Linked DNA regions of Arabidopsis thaliana. The protein of the gene in region 1 interacts with the protein of each later gene in a pairwise test. Each region holds a gene or a part of one and is shown on either strand. Other genes may lie near its edges.

Evidence for each region. Proteins that work in one complex are often made in the same cells at the same time.
Region 2: the proteins of AT1G63480 (region 1) and PRF3 interact in a two-hybrid assay, tested with the Arabidopsis thaliana proteins (one large-scale study listed by BioGRID).

The regions. Positions count from the first base shown.
Region 1 is NC_003070.9:23,536,795-23,545,263, forward strand, and holds AT1G63480 (AT hook motif DNA-binding family protein), read right to left. Parts: upstream 5,440-8,469; 5' UTR 4,892-5,439; coding exon 4,447-4,891; intron 4,040-4,446; coding exon 3,972-4,039; intron 3,887-3,971; coding exon 3,755-3,886; intron 3,673-3,754; coding exon 3,514-3,672; intron 3,360-3,513; coding exon 3,078-3,359; 3' UTR 2,763-3,077; downstream 1-2,762. Other genes in the region: AT1G63470 (AT hook motif DNA-binding family protein), read right to left, coding at 37-318, 507-665, 753-884, 965-1,032, 1,574-2,069; AT1G63490 (transcription factor jumonji (jmjC) domain-containing protein), read right to left, coding at 8,144-8,303. UniProt on the Arabidopsis thaliana protein: Transcription factor that specifically binds AT-rich DNA sequences related to the nuclear matrix attachment regions (MARs).
Region 2 is NC_003076.8:22,907,506-22,914,122, forward strand, and holds PRF3 (profilin), read right to left. Parts: upstream 3,206-6,617; coding exon 3,083-3,205; intron 2,716-3,082; coding exon 2,578-2,715; coding exon of another isoform or gene 2,512-2,577; coding exon 2,377-2,511; downstream 1-2,376. Other genes in the region: AT5G56590 (O-Glycosyl hydrolases family 17 protein), read left to right, coding at 16-70, 287-1,570, 1,665-1,698, 1,784-1,931. UniProt on the Arabidopsis thaliana protein: Binds to actin monomers and regulates the organization of the actin cytoskeleton. Can increase the critical concentration (Cc) of actin assembly in vitro.

The sequences.
Region 1 (8,469 bases):
AATAGGAAGAAAGACTAATAATGTTTTTGTTTTGAATCACCCGCGAGTCAAGTCAATATCAGTGAGTGGGTTTCTGCTAGAGTCAAGTGATCTGCCTGAGCCTGAGCCTGAAACGGGCCATCCGCTCATTCCCTGAGCTGGGAAGTTCTGTGGCGTATGCTGACCCGTCGATGCTGCAGCTTCTGGTGCACTACCAGGTGTGGTCTCCATTTCGCTATTGGTCGGCTCTTGCTTAGGTTTTATTTCTTGTTTGATGGTCTTGTTATTGTTATTATTAGACTTTGCACTTGCTCCGTACACGAAACTACAAGCCACCACCTTCAAAATAACAACCAACAAAAAAATTTAGTTTAAGAGTCACATTACATATAAACAAATCCAAACAAAATTTCTCAAACCGTACCAGAACCGTATTTTGAACTTTTGTATTCCAGGTAGCACAAATGTTATACCAAACAATTACAACCAAAACAAAACTTAATGGAGCCAAACCAATTTTGAAATACCTGAACGAGGCTGGCTGCGATAAGCATTCCAATTCCACCGCCGATAACATGACCTTCAGGACCAGAAAGAGAGACACTCAAACCGCCTGTTCGACTTTTGGATCCACCTTCTTCATTCACCAGATAAGATCCACCTAAACTTAGAATCTCAAAACGTCCCTAAAGAACACAAAGAAGGGATAAAGAATCTTTAGTTCTCCACGGTTTGGTTCTTTTTTGGATTAACTGAATGAACGATTTTGAAACCTCAAATGTTAAGGAAGGCGTTGTTGAAGCGGGTTCACGCAGAGTGACTGAAGAAACCGTTCCAGTGCCTGACATTATACAAAGAGCCCGAGGTCTTTTTTGTGAAAAAGACAAAACTTTCGAAACAATATCCTGCAAGAAAAATAAAAGGAAATTGAAACAATGAAAAGCTGCATAACTCATTAAGATTGATAGGAGTTTTTAGAGATTACTTCTCCTGATCCAACACTGATCACATGAGGTGCAAAAGCAAGTCCAGCTGATGTATTCATCCACTCACCTAAGGTAATTAACAGAGTTAAATGACCATTTACTTATCTCAACACAAATGGATCAGTCAAATTACTCTCATAGTTAATACCTAACAACCGATGTTGAGTAGCAGTAACAACAGAGCCAAATCAATACTAATTTGACCATAAAATCATTAAGCTTCTAGCAACCAAAATCTACCTAATCATAAGACCCCAGCTCGTGTTCTTCACAATGTACATAGAAGAAAGTTGTGCCAAAGCTTACAAATTGTGTCCATAAATCAAGAAGTCAAATATCGAGTTGACTACCACATTCTAATGACCAATTACTCATCTCAACTGGCATTGTACCCACACATGGATCAGTCAATTTAATACCTAACAATCAATGTTGAGTAACAGTAACAGTAAGGCTAAAGCAACAAAAACCTAAAATAACCATAGAATCATACATAGCTTCTACCATTCAAACTTTCATCTAATCATAAGATCCTTCAAGGGTTAGCCAACAGAGCTAAAACAACAACTTAACTTAATCAAGTACACAGAAAAAACTTGAGATCTCACCAAGATTAGCCAAGCGTTGCTTCCTTCCAGTTCCGGGAGGTCGACCTCTGGCTCTTTTAGGTGCATTAGGATCAGACATTGAAGAAGAGTCCTTAGACTTTTTACTAACACAAGGCATTGGAGAAAGCCCCAATGAAACTTGTCCATCAGGAACATACTTTCTTGGCCTTCCACGTTTCTTCTTAACCATCGGTTGCTCCGACGGTGGAGGCGGCAGCTGCAGAGTAGGCTGCACCGCAGCAGGAGAAGCCATCCCCATGTGAATGCTGTGTCCGAAATCAGAATGCCTGTGCTCAGCCATGGAGAAAGGAGGTCCTGGATTGCTAGCCTGAGGGTGGTGAATGTTAGGGTTTGACATTGGCCTCATTCCCGGAGGTGGCGGCGGCGCGTGAAGACCACTCGCGACCTGGGAAGGTGTAAGATTGGTAAAAACTCCTCTCTGAAGATAGAACTGAGAATGCGAGCCTGGAAATGCCATAGCTTCTCTCCCATCCATGCATTTAAAACCCTAAATTACAATTCTTTAAGAATCTAAGAGATTTTTTAAAAAAGGAAACTTTTTTGAAGAACAAATTTATCTACCACCCAGAAATCGTAAACCCTAATAACCCAAAGAGTGAAAAGAACAACAATGGCGGCTTTTATATACCCAGTAATCAAAGTCGGGTTATTTTCAGCTGTGAGCTTAAGATCCAAACTGTTTTTATGAAACCTAGAAAAGAAAAAGAAGCTAAATGTTGAGTTCACTTAGAACTCAAAAAGAAAGTAAAATTGCAGATTTGAAATGAAGACAACAAGCAAAAGTAGCTACTACTACTGTTACAGTCTCTCTGGTAGAGAAAGCAAATCTCAGAAAAAAAAAAGGAAAGAAAAAAAAAGAAGAGAAAGGAAGTGAAGACCATTGTTTCTATTTATATACTATTTCTTTAATTAATTTTGTCAAAAAAAAATATTCAATTGGTTTACAAAAAAAATAAATTGGGTTGTTTAAGAATTTTTTTTATTAAAAAGGATATAGACTTTCTTCAATGGTTTATAACAAAATCTAATGTCTCATTAGATTTCTGACTGAAAAAGAAATTTAAGTCAATTTGAGGATATATATTCATTAATATTTAATGCTTTTCATGTATAAATTATGAGCTTGTCATCTTCCTATAAATTAAGGATCCTAAATCTTGTGTGTGTTGAATTACACATTGTCTACCAAATAAGAGGAATCAAGTTTACTAAATATGTTAAAGAACCTGAAAGAAAAATAGTGAACTAGTAAAGAAACCAAGTTCTTGATGACCACAATGAGATCATAAAAGAGTTAAAAAAATCTCCTAAAATAGCATGAAAGTGGGAGGGTTCTGTTACATTAACAATGTTAGAAGGAGCTGAGAGATCTAGTATCAATCCTTAAATGTCTGATTTCAACATTCCCAGAGAGAAATCTACAATAACATATGTACAGCAATCACATTTTGTATGCTGCTGCTTCAAAGACTAATAGTGTATATCATCCACGAGTCAAATCAAAATCAGTGAGTGGGTTTCTGCAAATGTCAAGTGATCTGCCAGAGCCTGAGCCTGAACCGGGCCACCCCCTTATTCCCTGAGAAGAGAAGTTCTGTGGCGTCTGCTGACCCGCAGATGCTGCTGGTTCAGCTGCACTACCCGGTGTGGTCTCCATTTCACTATTGTTGTCCTCTTCATTTGGTTCCTTTTCTTGTCTGATGGTCTTGTTATTGTTATTATGAGTCTTTGCCCTTGCTCCGTATACAAAACTACATGCCACCACCTGAATAACAAACAAGTTTTTCAAACACTACCACATGATATCTTGAAGAGGAAAGAAAGTGACAGCACAAACATATCAAAGGCTAACATTCGTAGTTAGTTTCGCCTCGTTTTAGCTTCACTTTACAACCATTAAGAAGAAGAATTTAATATACCTGAACAAGGTTGGCTGCGATAAGCATGTCAACTCCACCGGCAATAATACTACCATCGGGACGAGAAAGAGAGACACTCAATCCGCCTGTTCGACTTCTGGATCCACCTTCTTCATTCACCAAATAAGATCCACCAAAACTTATAATCTCAAAAGGTCCCTAAGAAACACAGAAAGAGGATTAAATAAGAAATCTTTTCAGGTTTTTCTTTTTCGATTAACTGAATGAACGACTTTGAAACCTCGTATGTTAAGTGACGATCGGTTGAACCGGGTTTGCACAGAGTGACTGAAGAAATGGTTCCAGTGCCTGACATTATACAAAGAGCCCGAGGTCTTTGTTGTGAAAATGACAAAACTTTCGCAGCAATGTCCTGCAAAGAAAAATAAAAGGAAATTGATACAATGAAAAGCTGCATAAATGATCATTAATATATAAAGGAGTTTTGGTCAGTTTACTTCTCCTGCTCCAATGCTGATCACATGAGGTGCAAAAGCAAGTCCAGCTGAAGTATTCATCCACTCACCTAAAGAAATTATCAGAGTCAAGAGTTTGCTATTACTTAAAGTTTGATTAATCACATTATGATGACCAATTACTTAAACATGAATGGATTAGTAAGATTACTCTTTCACAGCTTAAAAACCTAAATCAATAACTTAAATCAAGAAGTCGATTTCGTCCACATCTACTAATAACCAATTACTCCTCTCACCTAGCATTGTACCACACATAGATCCGTCAAACTAATAGCCAACAATCAATATTGAGTATCAGTAACGACAAAGTAACAAAACCTAACTTAACTATAGAATCATTCAAAGCTTCTAGCATCCATAAGATTCAAGCTCATGTCCTTCAAGACTAGCTAACAGAGCTAAAGCAAAAACTTAACTTGACAAAGTACACAGAATAGAAAACTCGAGATCTCACCAAGATTAGCCAAGCGTTGCTTCCTTCCAGTTCCAGGAGGTCGACCTCTGGCCCGTTTAGGTTCATTAGGATCAGACATTGGAGAAGAGTCCCTAGACTTATTACTAACCATCGGTTCTCCATACTTTCTTGGCCGTCCACGTTTCCTCTTAACCATCGGTTCCTCTGGTGGTGGCGGTGGCGGTGGCGGTTGCACATCAGCATCAGAAGCAGAGGAGACCACTCCCATGTGAATGGTGTGTCCAAAATCCGAGAAAGGAGGTCCTGGATTGTTAGCCTGAGGGTGATGAATGTTAGGGTTAGACATTGGCCTCAATCCCGTATGTGGCGGCGGCGCGTGAAGCCCACTCGCGACTTGGGAAGGTGCGAGATTAGTAAAGGCTCCTCTTTGAAGATAGTACTGAGAATGCGAGCCTGGAAATGCCATTGCTTCTCTTCCGTCCATGCATTAAAAACTCCAAAATTACAAGTCTTTAACAGAAATAAGAGATTTTTAAATTGATTAACAAAAAAAGGAAACAAATTTATCTAATCTAATACCCAGAAATCATAAACCCTAATTCCCAAAAGTAGTAAAGAGAACAACAATGGCGGTTTTAAAATTACCCAGTAATCAAAGTCGGGTTATTTATACTGTGAGCTCAAAATCCAATTTGTTCTTATGAACCCTAAAAAAAAAAAGCTAAAATCTGAGTTCACTTATAGAACTCGAAAAAGTACGATTGCAGATTTGAAATTAAGAAAACAGAGGAAAGTAGCTTCTCCTACTGTTACAGTCTTGCAGAGAAAAAAATCAAATCTCCCCCTAAGAGAAAAGCTAGATTTGATTGAGAGAAATCTAGGGTTTCTGAGAAGGAGAACACAATGTATATCAGAGGAGAGACAAAGGAAGAAGACAGATGAGACAATTCAGGGAGAAGAAGAGAAAAAGAGAGAGAGAGAGAGAGAGAGAGAGAGAGAGAGAGAGAGAGAGAGAGAGAGAGAGAGAGAGAGAGAGAGACTAACAGTTTAATGATTCTGATTTATACTTTTAATATTGTGAACTTTTGAATTGAGAGAGGTCTTTCTCTGAAAGTTAGAAGAAAACTAAAGAAGCTGAACGAGAGTGACGACCATTGTTTTTCGTATTTATATATCTCTTTAATTGATTTGTTATTTAATTTTGTGAAAGATAAATTCAATTGAGAGAAAGATTATTATGAAAGATTTAAGCATAGTTTGTTTAAGAATATTTGTTTAAGAATATTTAATGTATTAGTTTGTTTAAGAATATTTAATGTATTAGTTTGTTTAAGAATAGTTTATTTAAAGTATTAGTTTGTTTAAGAATATTTGTTTTTAATAAAAAGGATAGACTTTCTTTGATGATTATTACAAATCTAATATCTCGTTAGATCTTTGACTGAAACCGAAATTTATTAGTCATTGAGAGACAATTATGTGCTTTATTCTCATAAACATTGCTACCAATAAAGATTTAAAAAAAAAATCTTTTCTAACATATTCTAAAGAAAACAGTTGACATTTTAGATTATTATATCATGTAATATATTATTTCTTCTGTGACACACTTTTTCCGTTTTTATATGGAATCATGTTTAGTGGGTAAAATATGTATGCAAAATTTGAAGATAAATTCAATATATATATATGAAAAGTATAATAATGTTTCTAAAGAAACTAAAAAAATAAAGTGAAAATAAAAAGAGAAAAATGTACAAACCTTTTAAAATAATCAAAAATATATTATTCTTGCTAGAAAAAAGAAAAAACTACAACATGATTATTTCAATTTTGGAGCTATTTTAGTGGCTTTACAAACTTTCTACACCTCAACTAATCATGTCTATATATCTTCAATAGTTATCTGTAATTTTTTTTGGTCAACTGCTCTATAATATATTTATAATTTATTTTTAATTAGTATAGATAATTATAAGATTATTTCAAAATATATCTAAAAATTTTAGGTTTTCTTATAAATATATAATCTTGAAATTTCATTCAGTTACACTTTGACAAGAGGCAAGACTAGTATGAAATGACTTCATATCATCTTAATTCAAATTAAGATTTTAAAAGAACAAAAAAAATCAAATCTTGTTGTAAAAAGTTTGATCTTGATTAGAAATATCCAAATATGAGAGAGATGTGTTGTTGACTAAAGGATAGGAAAGAGAATGGGGACACACTTGAATCTCTTCTCTCTCACATGTCTAACTCACTTTGCTATTTCTTTCTTTGCTTCGGACAGTGAGCCCTCTCTCCTAACTTTATTTGTTTTCCATTTTTATATTCCCCTTTTTCTCTTTTACTTTTTATCTAAAATTCTTTTTTTTTATTTTCTTTTAAAAGTTTTGAAAGTGATTTATTAATATATATATATATATATATACGTACATATATTTTGTTTCCACCTAATTTGAAAGTTTGTATGATGCATTTAATATCCGGTGGCTAAAGTACCCGACCAAAAAATCCAAATAGTCAAAATTTGGTGCTAGATATAAATAAAAGTTTTCTAGAGATATATCATATATTATATATTTTGGGTTTAATTAGATTTGTTTTGCTACTCCATTATGAATAATCTTTACATTAATTTGTTTTGTTTAATGTCAACAATATTACATTTGCACACATTTGACTTTTGACAATAAAATAAAGAGTTTTGACTTTCCTTCTTTCACTTTTTGTTTTGCCAACTTTTTACCTAAAGTAATGTGACTTGTCTTTTTTTACTTAGAAATTTCATGATAGGAAAAATTTGAGGCCGACCATTACTGAACTTATACAATATTTTACTTGTTCTTCTTACATAAATAGCTATAAACATACACAAATCAGTCCATTTCATCTACATGTAACATTAATAACTTTAATAAATAAACAAGATATGGACAGTGTGAAATTCACAATAAATGTACTAGATAGATTTTCAAAAATGGAAGAAGAGTGTTGAAGGAAGCTTTCAGCTTGAGGATGGTGTCTCAAAAGGTACAATAAGGCTCTGTTTCTATGAAAGTCCCTTACTTATTACTTCACAACACATATACACACATTATGATACATACATATATAGAGAGATATGATTGTGGGTCTCTGAAACATGATGTCATCAAAAGTGGGTCTCTTTCTGATTCTTGTAAGGAAAGTGATCTCAACTGTTGCTTTTTTATTTTCCTTCTCATGAATTTGTGGGGATTAAGAGATATGATTCTCTTCACACATTGGTGGTCCAACAATAGTTCAAAATTCTAATAGCTGCTGGTAGTTTGATTTTGGTAGAGTTTGTTGAGTTTAAAAAGTGAGAGATATCAACAAATACATACTATAAATCTATAATTGAATAAGAATACAAATTTCAATGGTAAATGTGTTAAACTTGAATAAAACATCAAAGAATGAAACAAGCTTTAAATCTAAGATCTAAGCTAATATCTCCTCTATACATAGTTGTGATTAGAATTTCTTATATTACATAATCATCAAATTCTAGTTATAGATCCACTGATCCAGTTCAAAAAAAAAAAAGATCCAAAAATCTGGCAAATTATTAAGTCCAAAACCTTTTTAATGTGAACTTGTCCATTTTCCAATGGGAAACATTACAAAAAGGTTTGAGAAAACTCATCTAAAATTGAATAAATGAAATTGCTCTATATATCATACCCTCAAGAGATTATTATGTTGGTTTTTAAGTGAAAAACCAGGGAAGAATATGAACCTGAGGACTCCGTTTAGTTGTCCGTTTGATGTGTTTTCGGGTTTTCCACTTTAAGTCATTAACTGCTGCATCAGTCGCGACCATTCTTGTCCGTCTTTGGTTCAGAGACGGTCTCTCTGGCTCTGTTGCTCTGTTAATAGATATCAATCAAACAAATGGGTTCAGAAAAATGGGAGGAAGTGTAGAGTATCTTAACGAATCTGTAAACATTCTCGGTTCAAGCCACTAAGCCTAACAGAAACCACACAATCAGTAGCTTTTGATTGTGACCTAAACTAATGAGTGAAGCAAAAGTA
Region 2 (6,617 bases), on another chromosome or scaffold:
TGTAGTTACTCAGCAATGGCGAGAGACTTCAAGCTTATCTTCTCCATTTCAATTCTGCTTCTGCTTCTAGGTTTGTCTCTCTCTGTCTCTACTACTCACTTCAAGAGCTGTCTGAGACTTTGTTCTGAAATAGAGCAGCAAAATTAAGAACATTCAATGGTTTCCAATTTCAATTCTTGTTGAATAGACTCCATTACCTTCTTCTAATTTACTGTAGAGCTATCAAAAGAAAATTTCGTCAGAAAAAAAGTCAATTGATTCTGTCTTTTTTCCCCAAATTTTGTAGACTGTTGTTACGGTGGCAAGGTCGGAGTTTGTTACGGAAGAAGCGCCGACGATCTTCCAACACCGTCAAAAGTTGTTCAATTGATTCAACAGCACAACATCAAATACGTTAGAATCTACGATTACAATTCTCAAGTCCTCAAAGCATTTGGAAACACAAGCATTGAGCTAATGATTGGAGTTCCAAACTCTGATCTTAACGCTTTCTCTCAATCCCAATCAAATGTGGACACCTGGCTTAAGAACAGCGTCTTACCATACTATCCAACGACCAAGATCACTTACATTACCGTTGGAGCTGAATCTACTGATGATCCACACATCAATGCTTCGTCTTTCGTTGTCCCCGCGATGCAGAATGTCTTAACCGCTCTGAGAAAAGTCGGTTTGAGTAGAAGAATCAAGGTTTCGACTACTCTTTCCCTCGGAATTCTCTCTAGATCTTTCCCTCCTTCTGCTGGAGCATTCAACAGCAGCTATGCTTATTTCTTGAGACCAATGTTAGAGTTTCTTGCAGAGAATAAGTCTCCTTTCATGATCGATCTTTATCCGTACTACGCTTACAGAGACTCTCCGAACAATGTGTCTTTGGATTATGTGTTGTTTGAGTCTTCCTCTGAAGTGATTGACCCAAACACGGGTTTGCTTTACAAGAACATGTTTGATGCTCAAGTTGATGCTCTTTATTACGCTCTCACGGCTTTAAACTTCAGGACAATCAAGATTATGGTTACTGAGACTGGATGGCCAACCAAAGGTTCACCGAAGGAGAAAGCTGCTGCGTCTTCTGACAACGCGGAGACATACAATTCAAACATAATCCGTCATGTAGTTACCAACCAAGGCACACCTGCAAAGCCAGGAGAGGCAATGAACGTTTATATATTCTCATTGTTCAACGAGAATCGGAAAGCGGGTTTGGATTCAGAGAGAAACTGGGGATTGTTCTACCCTGACCAGACAAGTGTTTATCAGTTGGATTTCACGGGAAAGAGCAACGGGTTTCACTCTAATTCGAGTGGTACAAACTCAAGTGGGAGTAGTAATAGCTGGTGCATTGCTTCTTCTAAAGCTTCAGAGAGAGATCTGAAAGGTGCTTTGGATTGGGCTTGTGGTCCTGGAAATGTTGATTGCACAGCTATTCAGCCAAGCCAGCCTTGTTTTCAACCAGATACTTTGGTTTCTCATGCTTCTTTCGTGTTCAATAGCTATTTCCAACAGAACAGAGCAACAGACGTTGCTTGCAGCTTTGGAGGAGCTGGTGTTAAAGTCAACAAGGACCCTAGTAAGTAAACAAAATCTCCAGCTTTTGCTTCTCCAAAATCACAAATCAACAGTCTTGATCTTTACCTTAATCTGATTCAATGTCGTTGTTACAGGTTATGACAAATGCATATACATTACTGCAGGAGGGTATGTCATAAAGATAGTTGATTCATATGCAAATTGAAGAACAGTAAATACATATTCTTACTGTTTTGTTAAAATCTTTCTGCAGGAACAAAACCAAGGCGACGAATGCAACTGCATTGACCTCCTCTGCTTCAACTCCACGTGGAAACGAACTACTCCAATGGATTTTGAAACTCTGTCTCATGATCTCGTTGTTCTTCAGTTTGCAAACTATGAATTCACAGGCACTGTAACCGAAATCTGAAAGAAATGTAGCAATAGCAAGAAAAAGCAAAATTTGTTCCTGAATAGTTTGGTCTAGAAATTGTGACACCGTCTAACGATTTTGTCTTTCTTCCTGCAGTGGAATCGTTGTACAGACATTCTATCTGAAAACTTGTCTGATATCAATTGTGTAACCACAGTCTTGTGATCTTAATCATCCTCACTATAATACACAAAAATCTCAATCTGCATAACCAATAATGAACTCTAAAGCTATGGTACCACACTGCCATTCATTAAATATTTCAACTCGACACAAATGTAGACAATACTATATTGTTTTAGAAATAATCATACAACCCCAAGATCCATCACAAGGTAGGTAATACACAGTCGGATTATCGAATAGTTTTTCTCTCACGACACAACTAGAAGATTACATAAAGCAATATGAATATAGTAGCAGCTTAAGTTTCAGAGCCCCGATTCAATCAGGTACTCACCGAGATTCTCCACAACCATATTGCATTGTCCAGGAGTCATTGGTTCATCATAGATACCAAATACCAAAGCTAAGGTGGTCTTCTTGATGGTAACACCACCAGCTCCCTACAATGGAAGCAAAATCAACAACAGTTCATCAAAAATCAAACAATATTCAAACAGTCTAGTTACCTTCTTTCCTCGAATGACGGCATTAGGCTCTCCTTGGATTACCATGTACTTGTTACCACCAAGGAACAATCCTGTTGGGGCAAGTGTTCCAGGTGTAGTAAAATCGTCTTTGATGCCCTGAATTTCCTCAGGCTTCACCTAAAACAACAACAATACAAAAACTATAAGAGAAACAAATTCAGTCTCTCTTAAACATCTCATGAAAGCAACTTAATAACTTATGAACAACATAACCAGTACAAAGAACTTGTCTATTTCCAAAGGTCAAAACTTTCTTCTTAAAAGAGCTTTAAACTTGTGATTCGAACTTCTTCTAATGCATCTTTTGCACTCTATAACCTCAAGAACATATGAATCAGAAAATCAAAACCAAACATTGAAAATTGCTGAATTTTGGTGGTTTAGTAGCTAAACAAAACCAAAGGTTGCAGATTTCAACATAGAACCAAACCAGAAACAGCAAGATGATAAGAATTGAGTAGTCGGTATAGAAATAAACCCTAACCTGAGGAAAATTGTTGCTCTGAGCCCAGACGCTACCGTCTTGGCCGAGAATTGCGGCGGCGGTGAGGCGGTTGCCTGCAACATCGCACATTAAGTGATCGTCGACGTAAGTCTGCCACGACATGTTTGTTTTCTTCTTCTTCTTTACTTTTGCTCTGCTTCTTCTTTGTGGTTTATCGGAATGTTCTAGAGATAGCGTCGAAACTACGAGTGAGTGAGTGTGTGGCAATGGCATTTACGCAAATATATTGTTTTATACATGATTGACACGTGCCAGACACAGCTCTTTTTAATAGTTTCTAAAGAGGAAAATTGTATTAGAAAATCAACCAGTTATAATGAAAAGGGAGGAAATAAATAAAAAAATAGAAAACTTATTTAAGGAAAACCAAAACATTTAATTAAATATGGTCTTTTCCTAAAAAAAAACAAATGTTTCGATTTTCATTATAATTGATTTTTGTTATGAATAAAGATGGATGTCCATTATAAGGCCCTCATCTAAACCCATCATCTAGATGTTTTTAGGGTTTTATCTTTTTTTTGTACTCCTATATAAAGAACCATTTATCTCAATGGAATAACACACTCATTTCTTTTATCTCTTTCTCTGGTTATAACACGTTATCAGCACGTTCTAAAAGGTAGATATAGAGATTCTTACATTTTTTTTAAGAACCATGTTTACTTATCGACTCATGGTTCATAGTACTTATTTTCTATTATTGAAACAAAACAATATGAGCCGATCGATGATTATAGTATAGATCGGTAAAAGCATGTTTTCAATGATTCAATAAAGAAGAGAATAATGCTTATCATTTGTTTCTATAATTACTATCGCATGATTCAATGATTCTACAAAGAAAATCGTTAAAGAAGAGAATCATGCTTGTTAATTGTTAATTTTTGTGATTTACTATTACAATATTGAATATATAAATTACCAATTTTATAATTATATAACTAACTTTGTAACTATTCATAACCCGGTGGTGGGTGATGCAAGCATGTATTAATGTTTTAGCATTCCAGTTTTGAATAGTTGCATCTATATTCAATATCATTTTATAAATATTATATTGTCTAAAATCCATTTATGATTGATATGATATCCCTTATTTAACTCCTTTGATTAAAACGTTATACATATCTTATCACTTTTAGATATTGACTTTTCCATATTAAATATTTGATTTTCATATATTTGATTGTGTTATTATTATTTTTACTAAAAACATTTCAAGATAATTTTTCTTTTTATAAGATTCCATATATCTAAATCTTTGTGTTATTATTATCTAAATCTTTTTATAAGATTTCCATATATTTGATTGTGTTATTATTATTTTTACTAAAAACGTTGCAAGATAATTTTTCTTTTTATAAGATTCTTTTCTCTAAATCTTTGTGGTATCTAAAAAAAAATTGTTCATGGTTTTGTCGTAATTTTGCACGAAATCATTTTACCCAAATCTTGCACGAATTCATATTACCCTAAATAAAAGTTTTGTCAAGATATATGTAAAATCCAGATTTTGCACAAAGTAGTTTTATTCTGATTGGTTTTACAATATTGCATTAAAATTATATTAATATATAATATTTGATTATTTTATGAAATAAATTGATTGATAAATAACTTAATTTAAAGGTATAATCACTTATAGAAATTTTTATGAATGACTATTTTAATGTATCTTAAAAAGATATCATATTTTTGATGGTCAAAGTTTTTTCAAGAACTTAAATTATCACCAGAAATTGAGAAAATAAATATGGTAAAAAAAAAAAAAAATAAGAAAAATTTCTAACGATGAAATAATCTAGTATATCAAGTAGTATAAATCTTATTAAAAGACTCTAGAAGAGCATATACATTGCTTTCTATGGGAATACAAAATTAAAATCATCGATGGGGTATAATTCTCCAAATCTTAAAGTTAATATGATGAGATATAAAATACATTATGATTCTAGAGTGGAATTAAAAACGAGATAGATGAACTTGAAGTTTCATCATTTCGAGGAGGAGAAATAATGAATCTCACATCGATAATAAGTGACATATCCAGAAGATTATGTTCAATCTTTGACTACTAAAGATCTAAAAGTTGTATAAAGCAATTCTTATACGAATGTGTTATCAGATAAAATAAGATATAATTAGTTATTACTGAAACTTCAAGACTTGAAGTCTCTTTGTGAATATAACTCACATTGTTAAGAGAATATCTATGATGCAGAGATGGTAAAACAGACGCTTAAACTTTTACGCAAGTATTGTTGTCCTGTAGACACAATATTTTGAAAGAAATTTTGAGAACTATTATAAACTTAAATCGAGTGTTTTTCAAAGGCTAAGAAAATATATGAGTTATCGATGATAGGTAATACTCATATTCTGAAGTGAATATAAGATCTTACATAGTTAGTCAAATTTAATATCGTTTATACTAGAATATAAAATTTTAATTATTATCTCGTTATTGTTTTATTAACATATGATTGATTATTAAAATACATGGACGTAATTTTGATTATAAGATCTCATTAAGGGAGTAACTGATAAGCAATGAAAAATAAATTAGAAGTTTTGAAAGAACTAGAAGTTTCAAATGAATTAAAAATTTCAAAAGTATATTTATCTTAACCGGATTGGTCATCCTGGTTTAATGATGATGTGAAAGTATTGAGAATTATGTGGACATTAGGTGAAAAACCATAAAATTCTCCCTAATGATTTATCAAATGTTACTTGCTCAAAAAGCAATATGATAATGTGATTTTTACCAGTGTAAGTAATTTGGACTTTATCTATTCGTAAGTATATACAAGGAGATAATTATGGGTTGATCACCCACTATATGACATTTAGATACCTAATGGTTATAAAAGATGCATCGATTCAATGGACGCATTGACTCGATTGTTGCATCGACAAAAAGGTCATATTTATCCTTGTTATAAACCCGCAACATAGAGTTTGCGAGATTACTTTCTTGATTAAAGTACAAGAGTATTTCAGTGTTTATTTATAATAACCATTATTGGATATTCGTTGGGATAAGTGTTTAACATTTTGAAATTCATGTTCATACACAAAATGGTTTAGTAACATCGATACGCATCAAGCCAATGAATAATTAATAGTTTTCCCCATTATTATTGGTTTTGGGTCAGAAACCAAATAGTTTTCATCTAAAAGCTTTGAATGTGAAAAGTGCTCCACCACAGCACGCAGAGATGAACCCTCAAAGGAGGATAAGAATACATGTTGGATATGAATGATAACTAAGCCATCCTAGAAGGATTTATATACCGCTCGTTTTGAAAACTATCATATTATATAGTCAGCTATTCCAACATAAGGGGGAGAATGTATACAGCTGGTGAAAAAGATAAATAGAAATGAATTATCAATGATCCTCGGAGGAAAGAATGTATATTAAGAGTCCAAAAAATAATTCAATTACAGAATTTAGCGTTGTAATTGCCAGACGCATTTGCTGACCTAAATAAAGTGATGAAGTCAC